Drosophila melanogaster: one gene and its partners. The protein of the gene in region 1 interacts with the protein of each later gene in a pairwise test. Each region holds a gene or a part of one and is shown in the gene's direction. Other genes may lie near its edges. The genes, in order: CG12470, azot and CG4286.

What was found.
Region 2: the proteins of CG12470 (region 1) and azot interact in a two-hybrid assay, tested with the Drosophila melanogaster proteins (2 studies listed by BioGRID).
Region 3: the proteins of CG12470 (region 1) and CG4286 interact in a two-hybrid assay, tested with the Drosophila melanogaster proteins (2 studies listed by BioGRID).

Annotation. Positions count from the first base shown.
Region 1 is NC_004354.4:304,482-311,448, forward strand, and holds CG12470 (uncharacterized protein), read left to right. Parts: upstream 1-3,202; 5' UTR 3,203-3,411; intron 3,412-3,608; 5' UTR 3,609-3,726; coding exon 3,727-4,314; 3' UTR 4,315-4,454; downstream 4,455-6,967.
Region 2 is NT_033778.4:7,946,188-7,952,918, forward strand, and holds azot (ahuizotl), read left to right. Parts: upstream 1-3,651; 5' UTR 3,652-3,701; coding exon 3,702-4,148; 3' UTR 4,149-4,278; downstream 4,279-6,731. Other genes in the region: CG14764 (uncharacterized protein), read right to left, coding at 1,418-2,333; CG34431 (uncharacterized protein), read left to right, coding at 1-795; CG30378 (uncharacterized protein), read left to right, coding at 4,316-4,762.
Region 3 is NT_033778.4:21,175,208-21,182,084, reverse strand, and holds CG4286 (uncharacterized protein), read left to right. Parts: upstream 1-3,448; 5' UTR 3,449-3,547; coding exon 3,548-3,889; intron 3,890-3,951; coding exon 3,952-4,269; 3' UTR 4,270-4,331; downstream 4,332-6,877. Other genes in the region: Pu (punch), read right to left, coding at 120-249, 324-440, 500-665, 1,938-2,147, 2,441-2,792.

The DNA of each region.
Region 1 (6,967 bases):
ACGCATATTGTTATATCTTTTGATATTGGGTAACTGTGTTTTTTCTGTTTTGTAGCACTTACCCAGCCCAGTAAAATAGTTCATGGAAAAGTTAAAGCAAATCTATTTCTTTTTAATTGGGATAGTCGAGGTTCTTAAAAATAGAGTTCCCCCTATGCTTCAATTTTTAGTTTAAAAGTTTAAATTACTACAGTTAACTTTTGCTTTTATGATATAAAAAATGAACACATAAAATTTCATAGCCATGGGGCGTTGTAAAAAAAGTTTGTAAAGGTAATGCTGGGAATTGAAAAGCAATAGTCAACAAAGAGTACATAGGTACAAAACCATCGGTCCATACCATATAAAAATTCAAAAGCTCTGCATGCTGTGCAATACGAAATAAAATATGTAGATCGCGGACTCATGGGCGTGACAAGTACAACTTGACAGAGGCTGAAGCAGTCAAAGAGCCGGTGACATGTCGTCACTGTCATCACAACTTTAACAGGAAGCCACGCCCACTCAACAGGTGCCCAGCTGAATTTACTAAAAGCGTCAAAAACAAGAGCATAGACAGTAACATCTCAAGTCAATTCTCCTGTCAACAGTCTCAGACAATTTACTCTAAAAAGAACATGAGCGCTATAGTCCATTTTCTCGGTTTATAGTTTTCGAGTTCTTTTCATACGGACGGAGGGACATTCGAACATGACTAGATCAATACTGAGCTAGAATATAGATGTAATGGGTCAGAAACGCTTTTTTGTTTATTATTTTGTCTGATTTTATAAGTTTTCACGTGAAAGAAATTATAGGAAGATAATCACTTGGGAAACATTTATTATTAGTTTTAATGTTTTCTTCTTTCCAGTGAGAGCAGTTTTTTTCGGATCATGTCTTTAGCGGGTGTATAAGAAAAGGCCTGGCACACATGTTATAAATATGCAAATAATTATTTAGGAGCGTGGAATGCTGGCGACAGCGATTATATGAACGAGCAGATTAAGTCCCTTTAGGCACTTTGCCGTCGTCGTCCCGTGGTCTAGCCCAATCTATTCGCCATTGGTCATCTGGCCAGCGGGTAGGAGGGAGATTCACAGAATTGGGGGAGTGTAGGCTTCCCAGGTAAAAGTGGTTACAGTATGTTTTGTCAGAGATTTTTCCCGTTGATATTCCCGCTTTTTATTTACACGTAGAGTAAAATTGTATTCTAGATTCGTTGTAGCATTTTAGACCCTATGACGTTTATATATACATACATACATATACATACCTTCCTCAGGATCACTAGCCCAGATCTGAGCATGTCCCTTTGTCCGTATGAAAGCAGTTTTTTAATTTAATTTAGTTTTTTGTATTGTCAATTTCTATCCAATTCAATTTCTAGCCAAACAAATTTTGCACCGCCCTAATTTGCCCATACTTATAAAACATAATTCTGAATTTTATTTATTGATTTATGTTATCATAATGGGTATTGGATAGTCGAGTTTCTTGTATATAACGTTCTCCCTTCCTTCTATTTGTTTTTTTTACTTGGCTTTTGACCCAATGCCTTGGACCTTGTTCTTATTTTTTGTTTGCCCTAGACTCGTTGGCGTCGACTTTTAGGTTGTTGCACTTTGGTACCACAGTTATCAAAATTTCGATTGCTCTATTTTATTGCTGTATTTTATTTTGACCGATACAACTGCAGGATAGCCCATGTGTAAACAATCAGCAAACCATTTGTTATATTCCTGCAGTGAATGAAGATTAATTTCAGTCATAAAAAAAGAAAGGGAAGGCTACCGGAGAGGTGCTAAATAACTCCGCTCTCTGAGATAAATTATGCGCAATTTCTCCTCTGCAAACTTATTCAGCACCTTAAAGCTTAAGTACTCCAAACTAAGCTTTCGCGGCTTAAAGCTAAAAATCTTTATTTTATGATAAAAAGCTCAATTTTATGAGCATGTACTTTTTTACGTTTTTAACATGCCGTTTTTTTTTTTAAGAAGGACTTGGACATCTGTATAAGGCAACATATCCATGTGAATTTACAAGGAGAAAACGATTCAGTCGATCTTGTCGGCTTACAGATACGTGTTACTACTCCGCTAGAGGAAGTGCGTTGGAGTTGGATATATGTAGATAACATATCGATAGATTTACAAAATTAAATTTTCAAATGTGTCGGCGTGGCAGTTTTGGGGGGTTTGGGGGCCTTAGAGTGGGCGTGGTAATATTTCAACAAACTTGCGCTGGTTCTGTCTCTAGAATATGTATGCTTAATATAAACCTTCCAGCTTTTATAATTCCTGAGATGTCGACGTTATACGGCCGGACAGACGGACAGTGCCAGATCGACTGGGCTATTGATACTGATCAAGAATATATAAACTTTATATGGTCGGAAACGCTTCTTTCTACTTGTTACATACATTTTCAACGAATCTAGTATACTCTTTTAGTCTGCAAGTAACGGGTATAAGAAGTATAATTTGAACTGTATAAAGGTTAAACTGTATGTAGGTTAAAGTACTTATGCGGTAAATGAATCTTATTTCTAGTACTTATCTAATCATCCCACATTAAAGCAACTGATTAAATAATACCATTGAAGATTGCACACATTTGTATATAGAGAGTGGGAGAGAGCGATATCTTCCTCCATATGGGTATCCTAAACCTGCCGACTCACGTTTGCCGGCATGACAGGTTGGGTTACCCCATTAGCTGAGAATTTCTTTTTGATGAAGCAATAATCGAAGGAGTGTTTTCTTTTGGATTCGTATTCGTTTGATACCGCTGTGAGCCATAAAATGTAACCCATTAGGTTAGTATGGTTGCGATTATAATGGTGGTGTCATCATCATTTAGCCAAAAACCTGAGATTTATTCCACTGGTCCATTCATAAAAGGCCATCATTTGAAGCTTAGATAATGTTTAATTAATAAATACGCGTTTTTCGTATTTCAATGGTACTTTTATCGTATCAGATATTTTTTTTAATATTTCCATATTTTTCTTCTTCCAGCAGATAAAGGAAAGTAGTAGATTTAGTTGTCCCTTAAGTTGTGATACAACGATAATTGAATAAAATAAGAACTGGCAATTATATATGCATTAAGCTGTTTACGAGCACCAAACGTAGCCTACTCTGGGTTGGTTTATTAAATAGAATGGCTTTCTTACTTTTTTTTAGATCACGTTGCTTTGCTGAAACTGTCAGTATTTGGACTTGGCTATCACCAGCCATATGGCAAAACATCAGAAGTAAAATTGTCTGTGAACACACAAAGCACACGAAAAAATCTCGGAAAAAAAACTGTACAAAATTTAACTTCGCTCTCGACCAGATTTACAAAATTTTTTTTTTGGCCAAACTTAAAATTAGGAATACAAGAGAACGGTGTGTGTACCAAAATCAAATCGTGTTTAGCTAGTTGGTGAGTCTTATTGGAAGCTCGGCATATTCCGAATATTACTGAAATTTTTTCCCCATTTCCGAATTGCATTTGGTTTCACATGACATACGCACACAATTGGAAGTCGTAATTCTATATGTGTGGGACAGTGTTTACTGAGTATTTGGTTGGGGTTAACTTAAGAATTAATATTTTTTTTTTTTAAATGCGTATTTCAGACGTCAGGATATATGCTACTTTGATTCGTTAACTATTTTCAAGTGATCGGAAGCAAACGCAGAGGCATTTCTAATTTGTGCGTTGCGCGACTTTCAGAGATCGTAGACTCGATTAACCATGGGTAAAAAGGGCAAAGGAAAGAAGGGCAAGAAGCCCGCCGCAGTTGTGGCTCCCATCGAAGCGCCACCATGTCCTCCGTGTCCGGAACCACCAAAGCAGATGCAACCACTTGACGCTTGTCCAGAGTCTAGCGGACCCCACGATGTCCTTCGGGCTCAACCGAATCATTACCCGGCTCTTCTTCGTATTCCGGAAACAATGGCGGTGGTGGGCTCTGAGAATGGATGCTACGATAGCATTTGCAAGCTCCTGAGAGCCGGATTCCGGTGTGCCGAGCGGGTTTTCGTGATGGCCCCTTGGGGCAACTACGTGGTTTTCCGGTATCACAACAATAATGACTTTATTTACTTCCTGTTTGATGGATGCACCTGCGATGTTAATAGGTTCCGCTATCTAGACCTCAGCTGCGGAACTGCTGGATTTCTTTTCTTCGATAATATGCACGACGTTATTAGTTATATTATCCAGTCTCGAAAGACGCGTCTATATCTGGAGAATCTAAACAAGATTGCCATTGATCAGATTGTGGAGGAGTATGGCGCTGTAACGTACACCCAAAAGGCAAAATGCATGCGATTCGCTTAAATAGGTCCCATATGATTTCTAACAAAAGAGGGCAACGCATACACAACGAGGATAATACTGGACGACAAGCTTTGCTCTAAACATTTAACATATTTTGGCACAATCTTTATCAATAAATAATAATCTCTTTGAAAGCAACTAAAACAAATTTGCATAGCTCTAATACCAATAGCGGTGATAGCGATATACCAAAGCGTTTATTTTGCATGTCGAAGTTAATCCTTTTGTAGAGTTTTGCTGGGAAAGTTGAGGTTAGCGTACGATCAAAAGAAGTTAAATAACAATAGTCGACATAAATTATTGCAATATTACTGTGGATAAAATACAAATCGTAAATATAATATCAAAAATTAGAGACTTACAGGGTGTGAGAATTTTGTCAATTAGAGTACAGATTCCAAGTCGATTAGCGTTCGATTAATTCCATTCATTTGAGTGGTATGGAAATTATGCATGTGCATCATTTTGCTAATATTCGGCTCAAAAGAATGAAGCGGAGGATTCCAGCTTAACGTGCACAACAAATCCCTCAAATTATTATTGCTTGCTACAAAATGAAAAAAGAAGAAACCCAATAGAAACAAGGTGAACCTTCCAAGTAAGGGGTCAATTTTTGGAGGCCCATGGATTGCGAAAACCGCAAAGCATTTGCAATAAAGTGCCAAACAAGCGCCGGCCACACGATATTTGAATATTTATAAAAGTAGTCGACTTGTTGATAGATTATGAGATGTTAAACTGAAAAATTTTATTTTTCAAACAGATTTTCAGTATTTGAAAATGTTTATATTATAACACAATTAAATTGTTTTTAACATCTTAATTAATTCTGAAATAATGTTTAAAGTTCTTACATTTTTATTAACATCTTAATTAATTATATATATATATAATATAATAGGTTATTAGACAGACCGTTACTTCTTATAATTTATATATTGTTATTTTTTAGTGGATGCGATTTGTGAGCAATATATATTTACTTGACATTTGTCCGGGCTACGAGAGAAGGCTCGGCTGGTTAGGCCACTGTTTCGCCGGTGTGTCAAGTGTCCGGTTTCCCTAACCATAACTCGTGTACCCCTCCTTAACTCCCGTGAGTACCTTTTAACTATCCAAACTCCTTGACTAGCCATGTCCCATTTAACATTTTACAACGAGTAGCGTATTTGTATGGCTGCGCGGCATTTTAAGACCCAATCGATCGGAGGATCGAGATTGAGGCACGCAAATAGAGTTAAATATATAATATTTTAACTCCAAAAGTTTATAGTGCACACTAAACCATTTATTAACCCCAAAAAAAAAAATGTATATTCTCGACGAACATCCATAAAGATTTGTGCTAGTACTTTTTTTTGTCCAGTGTAAATCGAGGGAAACATGGGTCGCAGATCGACAGACAAAGACGAAGGTATCTATTTTCCGAAAAATATATATACTTGCCCTTTCACGTTGTCGGCAAATGTCAGCCTACCATTTATATAAATGCACACCTCACCCTCAACTATTTGCAGACTCAAAAACTTTGTCATCTCCCCTTTTGAAGCTCAAGTAAATTCCCCAAATGTACTTGCACCGATGACCCCGCTCGAAACTTTTTACTTCTCGAATAATAATATTTACTAACACAAAAAATGGTTTCGTCTTTTAAATGATTAGTTTTTTTTATTTCATTTTAGGTTTTATGAATACATTCCTTTATACCAATACCATTATCTTTTTTCTTTATAAGTGGCCTGGACTTAGATCATCTCCAAAACTTTTTGCGCTTTGCTAAAAAACAGCAAATTCGCTTCTATTGTTTCGGTCTTGGGTTTTCGTTGATTGAATTTTTGGTTATTGCGGTTACCTTTTACCAGCTTTATACGCTGCATGCAACATTAGTCAATGACACTCGATGCTGGATGTTGATGTTGTTGTTGCTTAGTTGCCAGTTTGCAACATCATCTTGCGTCAGTCGCTGACATGATTATATATATTTGGCATGAACCTCCCCTTCCTTACTATGTGAATATTTGTGTAATGTTTAGATAAGTTTTTATTTATTTTGGATTTCTTTAAAACAAACCAAATAATCGTTCTAGATTTTAAATCAATTAATATTCATTATTCGATGTATGCAAAAACAATGGTTTTCACCCTCTCTTAAGTAAAAACAATGTTATGCAAACATTTGTTGGCCAATTTTTTGCTGTGTCAACAACAATCATTAATTAGATGCAACGAAATTACCAATCAACTGCTGCAACGTAATAAAAATTCATATGCGTTGCATATTAGCTAAATGAAATCAAATGACAGGAAGCAAGCAACATCAGCAACAACAGCAACCGCCTTAACACCGAATATACAACATATTATCGAAGAAATTCAATAACTGCTCATTGTGAAAAATGCTAACCAGCCACACCACAGGGGGGAGGGGTGCACTTTACGCGCTTTTGATCAACGGGAAACTCGTTTGATTCAGTGCAATCGAATTACATTGGCATGAGATGCAGTTGCAACTCTCGCTAACGCTTTCCTTTTCGTGTTGCGCATTTCACTTGTTTCTTCTCTTCTCACTTGCACTAAGCAGATCTTGGCATAATAAATAAATTAATCGACAAATGACGAATGATATATGAGGATAGATTGGAAGTAAAGAAAG
Region 2 (6,731 bases), on another chromosome or scaffold:
AAAAAAGTTGGCTCAAAGTTAGAACTTTTGGAGCAACTAAATCGATTAGAGACCTTAAAACACGGAAATAGCGACAATTTTGAGTACTTTGAGGAATCTGTTTCGCCGTTGGGCTATGAGATTTCTGAAAAATTAAATAGAACATTTGCGTCGATCAAAAGAATAAATCAGTCCAGGGCGAATGCAGAACTGTTTATTTTAGACGACAGAGATTCACCCATGGACTTTTTGACTTACGATGACTATCAAGGAAAGTATGTTCCCTTGGCCGAAGAGAAACCCCAACCACCCAATCGTCGAAGAAAGAAACGATCTAAACGACTTTTCGTTCCCAAAACTGACGCAGGTACACAGACTGAATGCGAGTGTGAAATTTGCTGTTCGTTGCAAAAGTATAGGACTGAAAAAGTATCACCTTTGCTAATGGAAATGACAATGAAAAGAAATTTTTTGAATCAACGACAATACTATATGGAAAATCTCAAGAAAAGAAAGTTAAAAGCACCTGTTTCAGAAAAAAGGGAATTAATCTCCATAACTAAGCCCAATCAAAGCGATTGCGAAGCGAAACACAGAAGTCACAAAGATGTAAATTTGTATTCTCGTTACCCCAAAATCATTTCCGAAACCCTTGAGAACCTTACATCCCCCCTTCGATTTGAAAACTACACACGAGAATTATTAAAGGCTTACAAGGCACTCGATGTGACAAAAATGATATCACGCTGTTATCAAACACTTTTTGAAGCCGAGCAACGAACGAATGGAATATTTCCAAATACCTTTGATCCTTAACCGAAAATTTGTCGACTATAAAGTATCTGAATCTAGTCAATCAATGAAGATACAGAAATGAGCATTTGACTGCATATAACATGCGCGAGAAAATGAATGAAATTGGAAAAGAAGCATTTTCTTTCTTTGGATTCATCAATTAAAAATGAGCTCTGTGTTTAATTCGCCAGGAGTGCCAGGAAGTGAACACAGAGTTCATTTCAGATGAATTCAAGGAAATGAAAGCTTATTTCTATTAAAAATTCACCTATGCTTGGTAAGCATTATATGTAATAACCAGCCAAAAAGTGAGTATTGTTGACTACTTAGTTTGGGAAATGCCGGTCGAATAAAAATGAATTGTTCGTTAAGAAAGGCAATGTCACTTTTGCCATCAATCCCAATTCAGGTGGTAATTACATAAATTTCCCCGATGTGAGTGCCATCAACGGAATGCCGTGCAAATGACAGTTATTAGTACACGAGCCTAGCCCCGAAGGAGAGCTTGGGGGTTGGAGGTTTGAACGTACGTTTGATTGATTTATATTGGCGTCAGGCAGTGACTGAGGAACATTTCTAATGACAGTTTTACATATCCCTATGACGCCACCACCACCACCACCACCCATCCCACCCGACTCACCGATCGGATCGATGCACTCGAGGGTGAGGCAGCACTTCAGCCAGGGAAGCATGATCTTCTCGGCCACCAAGGAGCTGTCCGAGAAGAAGACAGCATCCAGGTCGACCATCCGAAGAAAGTTAAACTCCTCAGCTTTCGACTCAAAGTAGTCGAACATTTTTGGATGCGTCAGAGAGGATACCGCCGTCGCTGTGTTCCATCCGAGCACTCCAGCGGACTTGACTGCAGATTTTCCCACTCCTGGATTCATAACGATGCTCTGCAGACTTCGCAGCTGGGCGGAACCTCCGCGCACGCGCATGCTGTTTTCCAAGAAGAGAACCGATCGGGCACGCATAAGACCGTCCTTAATTACAATGGGCCGGTAGGCGTGCGTCCGCTGATCGGCGACGAAGGAGGGAAACTCCGACAGATCATAGGTGATCACCGAGCATCGGCTGTTATTACAGTAGGCGCCCAAATCCCGTAGTTGCTCCTCGGAAACGCCCAAATCGTAGATTAGCAGGTACTCGCTGGGAAGCTTGGCGGCAATATTCTGGGCCAGCAGGATGGCCGATGCGGCCTGCCCCTCCAGCACATAGCTGACGATTGTGAAGTTGCTCTTTGTACCGTTGTACGGCGTCGTGATCCGCTTCCGCTGCCCCTTTTGATCTCCTGCCTGACTACCGAAGGTAACAGCATCCTGTGGACGCCGCAGACCTCGCAGTTCGCTGAGCTCCAGTTCCGCTTTTGTAGCCGGCGCTGAAAAATCTGTCTTTGGCAGTTGCTGACCTGGTGAACCGATGTCCACCACATTTTGCTGATCCAGCTGCTGCTGTTGGCCTGTAGCTTCATTTGACGAGGTGAAGCCCAGAAGAAGCAAATACTTTGGGTCTATTTCGAGCTTTTTGCGTTCCAAGCCAACGCGGAGGTTTTCCTGCAAGAAAAAAAATTAAATTTGCAATAAATGAATATTTTTGGTTTATCCAAGAAATAAACAAGAGATTTATTATTTAAGTTTTGACATACGGTTCCCGAACCCCACTCTTAGAAAATTATTTATGTCGGGCCAGGCGGCGTTAATGGTCAAAAAATATGGCCAGAATTTGCCTCGTCATAGGAACAATTCCGAAACACACATGTGAGATATGTTTCCATTATGGCCCTCTAGCACACTTCCTCTGTTTCGCCGAAACTAGCCCAAACAAATACCCAAACACAACCAAAAATCAAATGAGCCGCACAATGGAACCCTCTCGTGCCGATGTCAAATTCTTGTCTATTATTTGCTTAGACTGTGGCCAGAGTAAAGCGTGCCGCATTCTCTGCCCACCCCCCCGGGCACTACCACTCCTCCGGCAGCCAAAAACCGGTGTCAGGTGTGTCCCACTGCGGTCAGGTGAAAGGGCCGAGGGGGAGAAGCACTGGAATTAACCTGCGGCAAAAAGGCAGCCGCCAAAGTTGCAGGCTAGGCGCCAAACCCAAATCGCATGACAACCTTTCTGTGCCGATAGCAACCACTACACTTGTATGGCAGTACACTCAAAACACTCTTGTTAAGTATGAATAGTATGGTATGCTGATTCATAGATAGATTATTTAATGTATAGCAAAACTTACGAATAAGTTTAAGCAATCAAGAACAAAATCTTACATTTACATTTTTATACCAGTTACTCGTGAAGCTAAAGGAGTTATTCATCCAGATCACTAGTCGATCTGGATAAGCCCGTCTGTCCTTCCGTCTGCCTGTCCGTCCGTATGAACGTCGAGATCTCGGGAACTATAAAAGTTCACTAATGTTGTTTTCATTCTACACAAATATTTTGGCGTTGCAAACTTCTGTTGAGTTCTTGTATTTCGAATAGCGAAAAGATGAGCCTTTTTTTTCTTGAGTGTGCGTTGGAACAATGACGGTGATTGTACACATTCTTACTCCTTAACTTTCCTCGAACGGCACTCTCCTTCTGTTTTGTTAACGAACAACGAAAGATACTAGCTGACGTCCGTTGCTGGGTCGCAATTGAAACCGATCAGCTGCAAGGCCTCCTCGCCCAAGGACATTCGAATCAATCAACTCTGTCCGTGCGGCACTGCGCTTATATAACGAGCATATTGATTTTGTGCCATTCGGTGTTGTGCACTGTGCAGCGCAGTGAAGCCACCGGGGGATGTTCATTTTACCATTTTTCACATTTCACTGAGTTCAATGTCAGGACCTTGTTTCATCCAAACATCAGTTGACACCTACATATAAACAGAGCAATATACAACTCTTCCGAGAAACTATAATATACCAGTTAAGATGGAGGATATTTCGCATGAGGAGCGAGTCCTGATCCTTGACACTTTCCGTATTTTGGACAAGGACAACGAGGGCGCCATAACATCTAAAGAGATGGCGGTGGTGATTCGCGCCCTGGGTCGCCAGCCCAACGACGCCGAGGTTCAGTCCATGATCAATGAGGTGGATTCGGAGGGAAACGGATCCATCGTGGCTCCGGAGTTCTGCAATGTGATTCTGCGCAAGATGCGCGACACCAACCATGAGGACGAGCTGCGCGAAGCTTTCCGAATTTTCGACAAGGATAACAATGGCTACATTACCACCACCGAGCTAAAAAATGTGTTCACCGCGCTGGGCGTAAAGCTCAGCGACGACGAGTTGGAAGAAATGATACGCGAGTACGACTTGGATCAGGACAATCACTTGAATTACGAGGAGTTCGTCAACATGATGACAATGCGATAGCCTCCATGTGAGTACTCGTATAGAAGGCTGGCTTGATTTCTATCCAACAAAAAGTCGGCGTTCTGTCTGTGTTCAGTTTAAATTCTTTATGTTCACACTGACAAAAGCACATGAAACATTAGTCCACTACAAAAAAAAAAAAAAAAAAGAAAATCACTTTGGAAACAATGAGCGGCAGTTTGACCGAGGCCCAGATTGAAGAAATTCGAGAAGCATTCAGTTTGTATGACAAGGAACGGTCCGGATGGGTTTCCGTCCAACAGCTCGGCGGAGTAATGCGGGCCCTTGGAGAGAGTCTCACCGAGGCGGAGATCTACGACCTGGCCAACGAAAGTAACGCCGACTTCGGTGGGCAGGTGCAGTTCAAGGACTTTCTATACGTGATGAGCAAACGGCTGGAGGAGCAGAACAGTCTGGTGTGCCTAAAGCAGGCCTTCAAAATCTTCGATCGCAGCGAAGTGAACAGCTTTACAATTAACGAGATCAGAATGGTGATGACCAACCTGGGCGAGAAGATGTCCGAAGAGGACTTGCGCGAGTTGTTCCAGGACATTGATCAGGACAAAGATGGAAAGATCTCCTTCAACGAATTTGTTACCGCCATGCGAAGCTAGGAATTCCAAATTGAAGGCACAAATTAACCACGAACCCCTTTCGAAAGAGCCCAACCCAGTCGCGTTTTCCCTACGCCTAGGCGGCACCACTTGAAATTCCCAACCAAATTCCTTTGGCTTACTCAACGCAGCGCCAGAAAGTCGGCTGTTAAACCTTGTCCGAAGAAGTCCACTTGTGTGTGTCCATGTGGCACGGCGCGTGACTCCGAAACGGTCGCATGTGCCTAATGGCCGCTGGGGAGTGCCAGGATATTCGAAAGGGTGATGGCGATGGGCCAGAGCAATCATAAAATCGAGCCACGCTGATTACGATGCCAATTTAAATATTTGACCATGTGCTGGACTGGACTGGACTCGCTGGTTTCCTTTTTGTCTGACCAAGTTTACAAGTGGCATGATTTTGGGTTCAAGTCTTATCGCACCTTGCTCTTTTTAAATTACCTTGTTATCTATTGGCACCCTTAATACGCATACAACATACATTGTCCATGACTCATTCGGCAATTATAAAAGCCCACCTTGGCAATAAAATATTGTCAAGTGACTAGTGACTAATAATTTGTAAGGGGGAAAGGTTTATAAATTTGAATGCGCCTTCGTGCATGGATTTCAGAACATATATAAAAGAAAATCATGTATAGAGAAAGAATAATTGATGCCGAATTCGGAGAAATATTTCGGGGCTGGGATGCATTACTCGGAAAGATTTCACGATTTCGTCATTGCTAATCCTATTTGTAAAAGGTAAATACCCACAATAACCCCAAAAATACTTAATTATGCTTAATTGAAAAATTAAAACATTAGCTTCTTTATTTTACATCCACTTACAGTTAACCCACGGACTTATTAATGTTAATCAAAAGTCGAGAGGTCATTCCGACGTTCATATGTTTCTAGCGCTTCATATGGATAATTTAAATAGGTTATCGTTCAGCTACAGTTTAATTGCATTGCTCTGCATGTGAGTGGCGGTGCGACATTGAACCGATGGCTATAGGCAATCAATAGCGCCTGTTTACTCCTCACACAGGTAAATATGGAATACGAGTAATCGCTGTGCAAGCGCATTGATAAAGCCCGCGCTCCTCGCTGTAATTTAAGTCATTGATTAGTGTCGTCCATTAAGAAAGTTGACACAAATTGTCACAAATGGGGCAGCATTATAATTTGAAATTAGAAAAAAAAAAAAGAAAACATTCAGCTTATTTCCCAGCAATACTCCATAATTGGCTAATTGACTAAATAAATTTCTGCTCGACTTATATATGAGTTTCGTATACCCACAGTTTTGATTCGAATTGTTGTATTCAATCCCAGCGCACCTGTTTGATTCCCACGAAGCGAACCCTCGGAATAAGATCCAAAAGGGTGGGATTTAGCTATACACGTACTTCCGCATGGAAAGTTTATACTACTTTTAGGTAGTCTCCGGAGTTGTTATTTATACATAGGCACGCTTTAAAAATATATAGTTCATAATAGAAAACACCCTAGCTGTGCTATGAATATGTCTTAGTCACAGAAATGATTGTGCACTCACTGGAAGTGTTCGACATGCATCAAGTGCTGGCAGTCGAACAGTCAATCACTTTAATTGTAAATCTATATGCTAGCCTATATTAGTATGATGTGGAAATTTATTCACACACATATCGTTGTGTATGTAGCAGTACTGGTGCACAAACCAGTTGGGTAAAGAATGCATTTTAACAAACGAACGAGCAATGCCTTAGATTTTGATGCAATTGTGGGAACTAGTTTACAGACAAAGTAACTTCATATGCGTTGAAACGCCTTTTCGGGTGGAGAAGATACGTTGATCCCTATCAAAACAGTGGTATTACTAATTAATGCTTCCATTATCTCAGTTTGTCATGATAGCAAAATCGTAGGTTTCTGTTTACCTCGTTGAGATAACAGCCAGTTGTAAACTTTGAAGCAGAGACTCGGCGTTTGGGCACTATTA
Region 3 (6,877 bases), on another chromosome or scaffold:
CATAAACTAATGGACCCTGTGTTTCGTTTCATTTTTGTTTGTTTGTATATAAGCGCCTCCAAAAATATTGTAGGGGTTTAGTTGGTCTCGGATTTCAGTAGCGTCCTCTAGTGCCCACTCTATTTGCTATTGACTAAGTTCAGGAATTCCTCACGGGTCTTGGGATCGTCTCGGAACACGCCCAGCATAGTTGAGGTAACAGTTTTGCTGTTGATCTTCTGCACGCCACGCATCACCATGCACATGTGGCTGTATAGGAGGAAAGCCATTCGTTAAACTATAATATTCTTTAAAATATATATGTATATATATTTAATACTTACACTCCCTCTACGACCACTGCTACTCCAGCGGGTTGCACGGCCTGAGTCACGGCCACTGCGATCTGCTTAGTTAAGCGCTCCTGGACTTGCAGGCGACGCGAAAATATTTCGACAATGCTATGGGATCGCAAATTATATGAAAGATCATCTAATATGCATTACTAAGTTTATCTTACCGTGCCAATTTACTGAGTCCGAGAATCTTGTTGCACGGCAAATAACCGATGGAAACTTTGCCGTAGAAGGGCACCAGATGATGCTCGCACATGGAGAACATTTCAATATCCTTGACCACCACCATTTCGTCATGATCCTCGTCGAAAACGGCGCCATTGAGAACATCTATTAAAAAAAATTTGAAATGGTGTAGTAAAAAAAAAGTACGAAAAAGGAATTCATCATCGCCTGACCCCGACGTGATTTGAACACGCAACCTTCCGATCTGGAGTCGGACGCGCTACCGTTGCGCCACGGAGTCGTTATTGAAAAGTTCGCCCAATGTCCCACAACCACGAAGCTACTCAAGTGGCGTTCCTTCGCTACCCGTGATTTATGGCGCGCGTAATTCGTGTTAGATTTATTTGCTGCATAACTGAATACTGAATGTTAAGTTCAAGCGACTGTGAGTGCTAAAGTGGTTGCTTAGCGAGTGTTTGTGTGTGTGTGTGCGTGTGTGAGGTTGCGGGTCTTGGGGGGAGGTTGACTTGACTTGACTTGACTGGATGGGCTTATGGTTCTTGTGGAGTGTGAGCTTTCGCCACACTCGTTTTAAACGATGTGCTCTTGAGATTCCCATTCCTTGAATAGAAGCCGCCGCCGCACCGCACACCCACCCACTTTACCGCTCTTAATATACAGACCGGAAAGCTTCAGTGCGTTTCCTGACCAACCAGCGAAGAAGCCAAGAAGTAGCCAAGTAGCCAGTGAGCCATCTAACAAACAATCCAACAAGCATCTTGTGTGTGTGGTGGGGAGGGGGGTGGAGTTCCCCCAACACCAGATTGGCAAGTCACGTTGGCTCGGCTTCTTGGGTTCTTTGAATTCGGGTTAAACACAATCCAACCCATTCTATTGCCGATGCCGAAGGCTATTCACTTTCGTTCAACGAATTTAGCTTTCAAATGGCCTGCTGCTGTTGCTGTTGATCTTAAATTTACATGCGATTTTATTTGACAAACCGTAGAACCTGATTTCTCGGGCAACCGGTTAGGTATGCTGGTGTAGCAACCATATAATTCGCAATTCTGTTTTGTTTCTCAAACGACTCACATTGATTACATGACAAGTTCAAAAGCGACTGCAAGTCGAAATGCACGCCAAACATGAGACCAAAAACTTTACTAGTCAAATCTCATATTTCATAGGATATTGAATGGATTTTGGATGCGTCCACTTGATTGGACAAGCCCGAAATTGCCTAATGGCTCCCTATGTTCATGTGCTTTATCTCTCGAGTGGTCAGGTAATTAGGCTAATGCACCATAGCGGACCGAGGAACCCCCGTAAATGGTGATTCACCGACATGAAACTAGTTCCCACTCGCTGGGAAAACCAGGATGAGCAACTTCGATCACTGACCCGGTGCTAATTGCTTGAAATGTGTGGTGTGCTTACCCTCGAGACTCTGGTCGTAGCCCTTGGTGAAGTACAGCATGGCCTTGGCTGCCCGCTCCGGCGTCTTGATCAGTCCCTGGCGATCGGGATTCTCGCCCAGGCCGCCCAAGAGTAGACGATACGAGCGTGCCATGTCCGGAAGGAGGGCCTCTCGCGTCGGCGGCTTGTGGTCCAGCTCCAGGTCGTGGTGGAACGTGCACTTCTCGTGGCCTGTAAATGGAAATACGGATGGAAACATGATGAGAATCGTTATCATGCGAGATAGGAAGGCATTGCCCCCCTTCGTTGGCTGTGTGTGGCTGTCTAAGTACTATTCCCCATTCCGAGGCGCATCTTCTGACCTCTGAACCGAAACACTAACCCACTGATAGGCGTACGGTTTATGCTCAAAAAGAGTTTGTCAAGCACTCCTCCTCCTCCTAGTTCATTGACTAACTAAATCGGTCGCAGCAAACATAGCTCTGGATCCCCTGACCTGGTCCTGGACCACTACCCACCACTACCTGGCGTTGTCGATGTACGCGGTGTCAGTGGTGTTTTCGGTTGTGTACCATCACTATCCGGACTGCTGCCGTTGGTCTTCAGGATGAGGCGGGGTCTCTGGTTGCCGGCCAACGGGACGAGAGCAGGAGCTGGCGCCACCTCCTCGACGGGTGTGCCCGCAATGGCAGTGGCCTCCTCCGCCTGGTTCTGCTGCCTGTCCGCCAGCGAGGAGGTGCCCGAGGTGCTACTTGTTGAGCAGACGCTGTTGTTGCGTCCGCGCGAAAGGATGTGGGCCTGCGGGAAGTTGGTGTCGTCGATGGCATCGTTCAGCTCGCTGGCACTCATCTCGGACAGTTGGCGGGTAAAGCTCATGGCGGTGCGGCTACTCAGGTTTGTTTGCCACTCGAATGGAACTCAATTTGACGGCTAGCACACAATCTTTTTTCCTCGATGATTTTCTCACTGCTATCTGTCTCTTTTTGCGCTGCTGTCTGCCGGACTTTGTCTTCGCGTGTTGGCGCTTCGGGTGGCTCTGCTCTTCTGGTGGCTGCTGTGGCCAGCGGTGGCAATAAGAACCTCTCGAGCGGAGCTTTGAGCGGCGGAAAGCTCCAATCAATAGCCAACAGACCATCCAACGGGCAAGCTCTGCTCCGAGTTTCGCTTGCCGGAGATTAAGTGAGCGGAACTAAACCGAGCTGAGCGCAGGCCCACGGTTTGGCATCCAGTGGCTGTAAAACCGCGCACGAACTTGTTGCTCGGCCAGGAGGCGATAGAACTACAGCACTAGCCACGAAAATAGTGCCATCAAATGTTAAAAACTAGCTTTGGGTGGTAGGTCAATTTACTTGTTAGGAAAGTAAAGCTACCTTATTGGGATAAGTGTAGCGTTTACCCTTAATATATATTATTAAATAGAGTGTACCAAGCTTTTGCCCTCAAACGTGCACTTTATCCTTGGCGCCAACTTAATCTCAACTATTGTTTGCATATCCTTGAAACCCACTCAACTTGGGGCCAGACGTCAAGTTGTAGTTCATTTAAACATTCCACTCGAAACGAGCTACTCCCCCAAATTCGAACCCCCTTCCAACCATCCGCCCCTCCATTCATCTTGGAGAACCAAAGTCATGGCGCACCGCCTCCAGCTCCGTAGCGATGACTTCGACGTTATCGGCGCCGTGCCCCGCAATCTGTCCGTGATCAAGAACTTCCTGAAGCGGGACTGTGCCATCAAGAAACTGATCGACATCGAGGAAGAGTTCCTGCAGGAATGCGTATTGCGCGGCCAGGATCCCATGAATCCGAAGGGTAAACGTGACAGTGACAGTGGGCCACATGGTAGTGGTTTGGGATCCAATGTGCCCGAACCCAAGCCGGATCCATGTGCTACCAAGACACCGGAGAACACATTGGCCTCCGACTACTGTGATCCCTGTCGCCGACTCAAGACCTCCGTGGTTCTCGAAGAGGTGAGTGATCTGTACATTCAATGTGCTTCAGTGATTTAGATGTTACTCCACTCATCTATCAGCTAACCAAGCCGGCCATCACAAATCCGGCTTTCAACAAATCCCTGCCGCCGTACTTCGATGAAGAGAGCGTGATGGGCAACTCGTTGCCCGTGAAGTTCCGTTTCCGGCGCAAGTTCAACAAGTGCGACCAGGAGAAGGCCGGCAACCTGATGTGCACCAACACGCCGAGCACCAATGTGGTCGTGTTGACCAACTGTTGCGACGTGATGGTCTGGCCCAGTCAACGGGTGGCCCAGATGAACCGGGTGCCGGTGACCATGCTGTCGGGCGAAGCCGATCTCACGGAGTACATGCTGGAGGAGGAGACCATTATGTGAGGGAATGGTTGGATGGGTGCAGCTTTTTGGCACATAACGCCGATCAATAAAGCATTAACCCCACTTAGAAGTGTCCTCATTTTGTGCGGGAAACCCTGCATCCCACATGTGGGGCTTCAATTGAAAGTAGCTAGTCTCTCCAGCTGGCCAAATTTGATTATTCTCTGCATATATTCGGAATCTTATTTGCATGCAAAGTATTCGTGGTTTATCGCGAGCACTTTTCTTGTTTATGGCATGGAGTTGAAGGTTATTCTTTATATATGTATATACATATATATGTCCTGAGAAATAGATTTTGGTGGGTTTGTAAAAAAGTACAAACCACAAGGAATGTAAAGCACATTAAAACCTTCCACCGCTGCTTAGGGTCGAATAAATCAGTTGGGAATAGCACAGGCTGGTTTAGTTTACATAAGTATAAGACAGCTGCAGATTATCGTTACAGATTATGTGACGTAGGTACAGTGATACCTCGCTAGTACTTATATATGTGCATGCAACCCTTAAAGAAGATGACTTGAGGGATGTCTGAATTGAAACCGCTTGTAAAGATGTAATGCAAATCGTTGAGCTCCAATGGGTTTCTTCCGGATTGGTCGACCCGTATGCTCATGCGGTGCAATTAAAGCATCATTAACATTTTCCACAGGGCAGGTGTTGTCTCCGGCTCTCTGGGCTGCACAATTAACCATTACGGCATTTGATCTGAATAAGGAATGCATTCCCCCCCATTCGTTGGTCTGTGGATCGGGATCGGGATCGGGGATTCCGTGCTGACAGGGTTGCCACCACGCCTTGGGAGAATTCGCTCGGAGAATTTTTTAAGTGCCTCAATTAGCTTGGATCGCCTCGGCTCTCAGCCAGCCAGCTTTGTTCAGTCTTTGTTTTTTTTTTTTTTTTTTTTTTGTTTTATTGACCGCAATCGCTCAAATGTGAAGTACTGCGGCCAGGCCTATTAGTCACCATAGCCGACAGACACCAGCTCAAAACTGAGGGGCAATCGAAGAAACTGAAACTCAAACTGAACTGAAACCGTGGCTAGTGGCTAAGACCCACGAATCGAAACCGTTTGGAGCACCGTACTCGCAATTAAACACTTTTTTAACCTTCACAAAAGTAGTTCAGGCCCATTCCCCCCTCCCCCATTCCAACTAACCACCCTACGTTTTGGCCAAATCAAACGAAATCAAATACCGGATCACAAGCCAAAGGGGTTTATGTCTTTGTCTTTGGCTCATGGCCCAGAGTTCCCGAACTCCATTCAGCTCTCGTTGAATCTGCCGATCCAATCCAATCCGATATGATCCGTTCAGCCAAGTGCCATGTACCGAGCAAATCTTTCAATGTCAATGTCAATAAGCCCAGTCAGTGCCACAGCTAGTAGCTCTCTTATTTTTTTTTTTTTATTATTATTATTTTTTTTTGTTTGGTATGGACACAACAAGAGTTACTCTCGATATCCGGCACTGCGTGTGGTTTGCATATGGGACAGAAATCGTGGCTCTCGAATCTCTGTGGTTTATGTTCTCGGATTTATGAGGCCCAGCATCGCCGGAAATCGGAATCTTCGCATTATGCGCATTTGATTGAATTTCAATCGCGGCCCAACTAACCTATGACTGATGCAATATGGCAGCCAGATTGCATTGCGCGCGATGTTAGCCAGTTCAAGGGGTTGTATTACCCGGAAACTAGATCGGGTTTACTGGCTATCAAGGGTTAGCTTTGAATTCTTCAACCAAATTGTGCGGGCATTCAGAAGAAATGAAATGGTAACAGAAACAGATAAGGATGAATCATGTTTGTGGTATTACCAAACTTTAGTAGGCTTCTGGATAAACCCCTTCTTGACGAAGATCACCAAACGTTACTAACTATATTCCAAGAACTTCGAAATGGAAAGATGCTAGTGCACTTGTGGACAATTAATCATCCAAGATATGGATTTCAAATCACAAAGCAAAAAGTCCCTTAAGTGGGAGATACTAATTTATAGCCTGGAATGGAAACCGAATTTCTACACCAACTAATTAACAACCAATTTATTTTGACTTCATCAAAACAATCCCACTATGCGTATACGCACTTTTCTCAAACCAGGAAGAGTTCCCGTTTGTGGCATTCTTCCGGAGAACTCACCGCTTCCATTGCTGGCCAGCTCCAAGTTGAGCATTTCCAGTTTCAGCTGCTGGCTGTTTTTGGAGACCGTTAGATCGGTGCCGGACGTGGCGGAGGCGGCGGAGGCTTCGCCCGTGGGGATCGTGGCAACGGCCACGGCATCTGCGGCACCCTCGCCATTTTGGCCACTGCCATTTTGCTCGCTTGTCTGGGGCTTCATGTTCGATTGATTGGAGTTGATGTTTGGCTGGGATTGGTGGACTCTGCGAGGACACGGGCTCGGAACTGTTTGAACTATGGGACTTGAGATTGGGGCTCTGAACGCGTGGCGGACTTTTGTATTTGGCGCGCTCGCTCCGAATTTATCTGCCGACTAAACCGCCTGAGATTTAGTTGTAACCTTTTTATTATGAAAAATCGAAAGTTCTGCCGCGAGAGAGAGAGAGAGAGAGAGAGGGCGAGCAATGCTCGACAGTTTTATCATTTT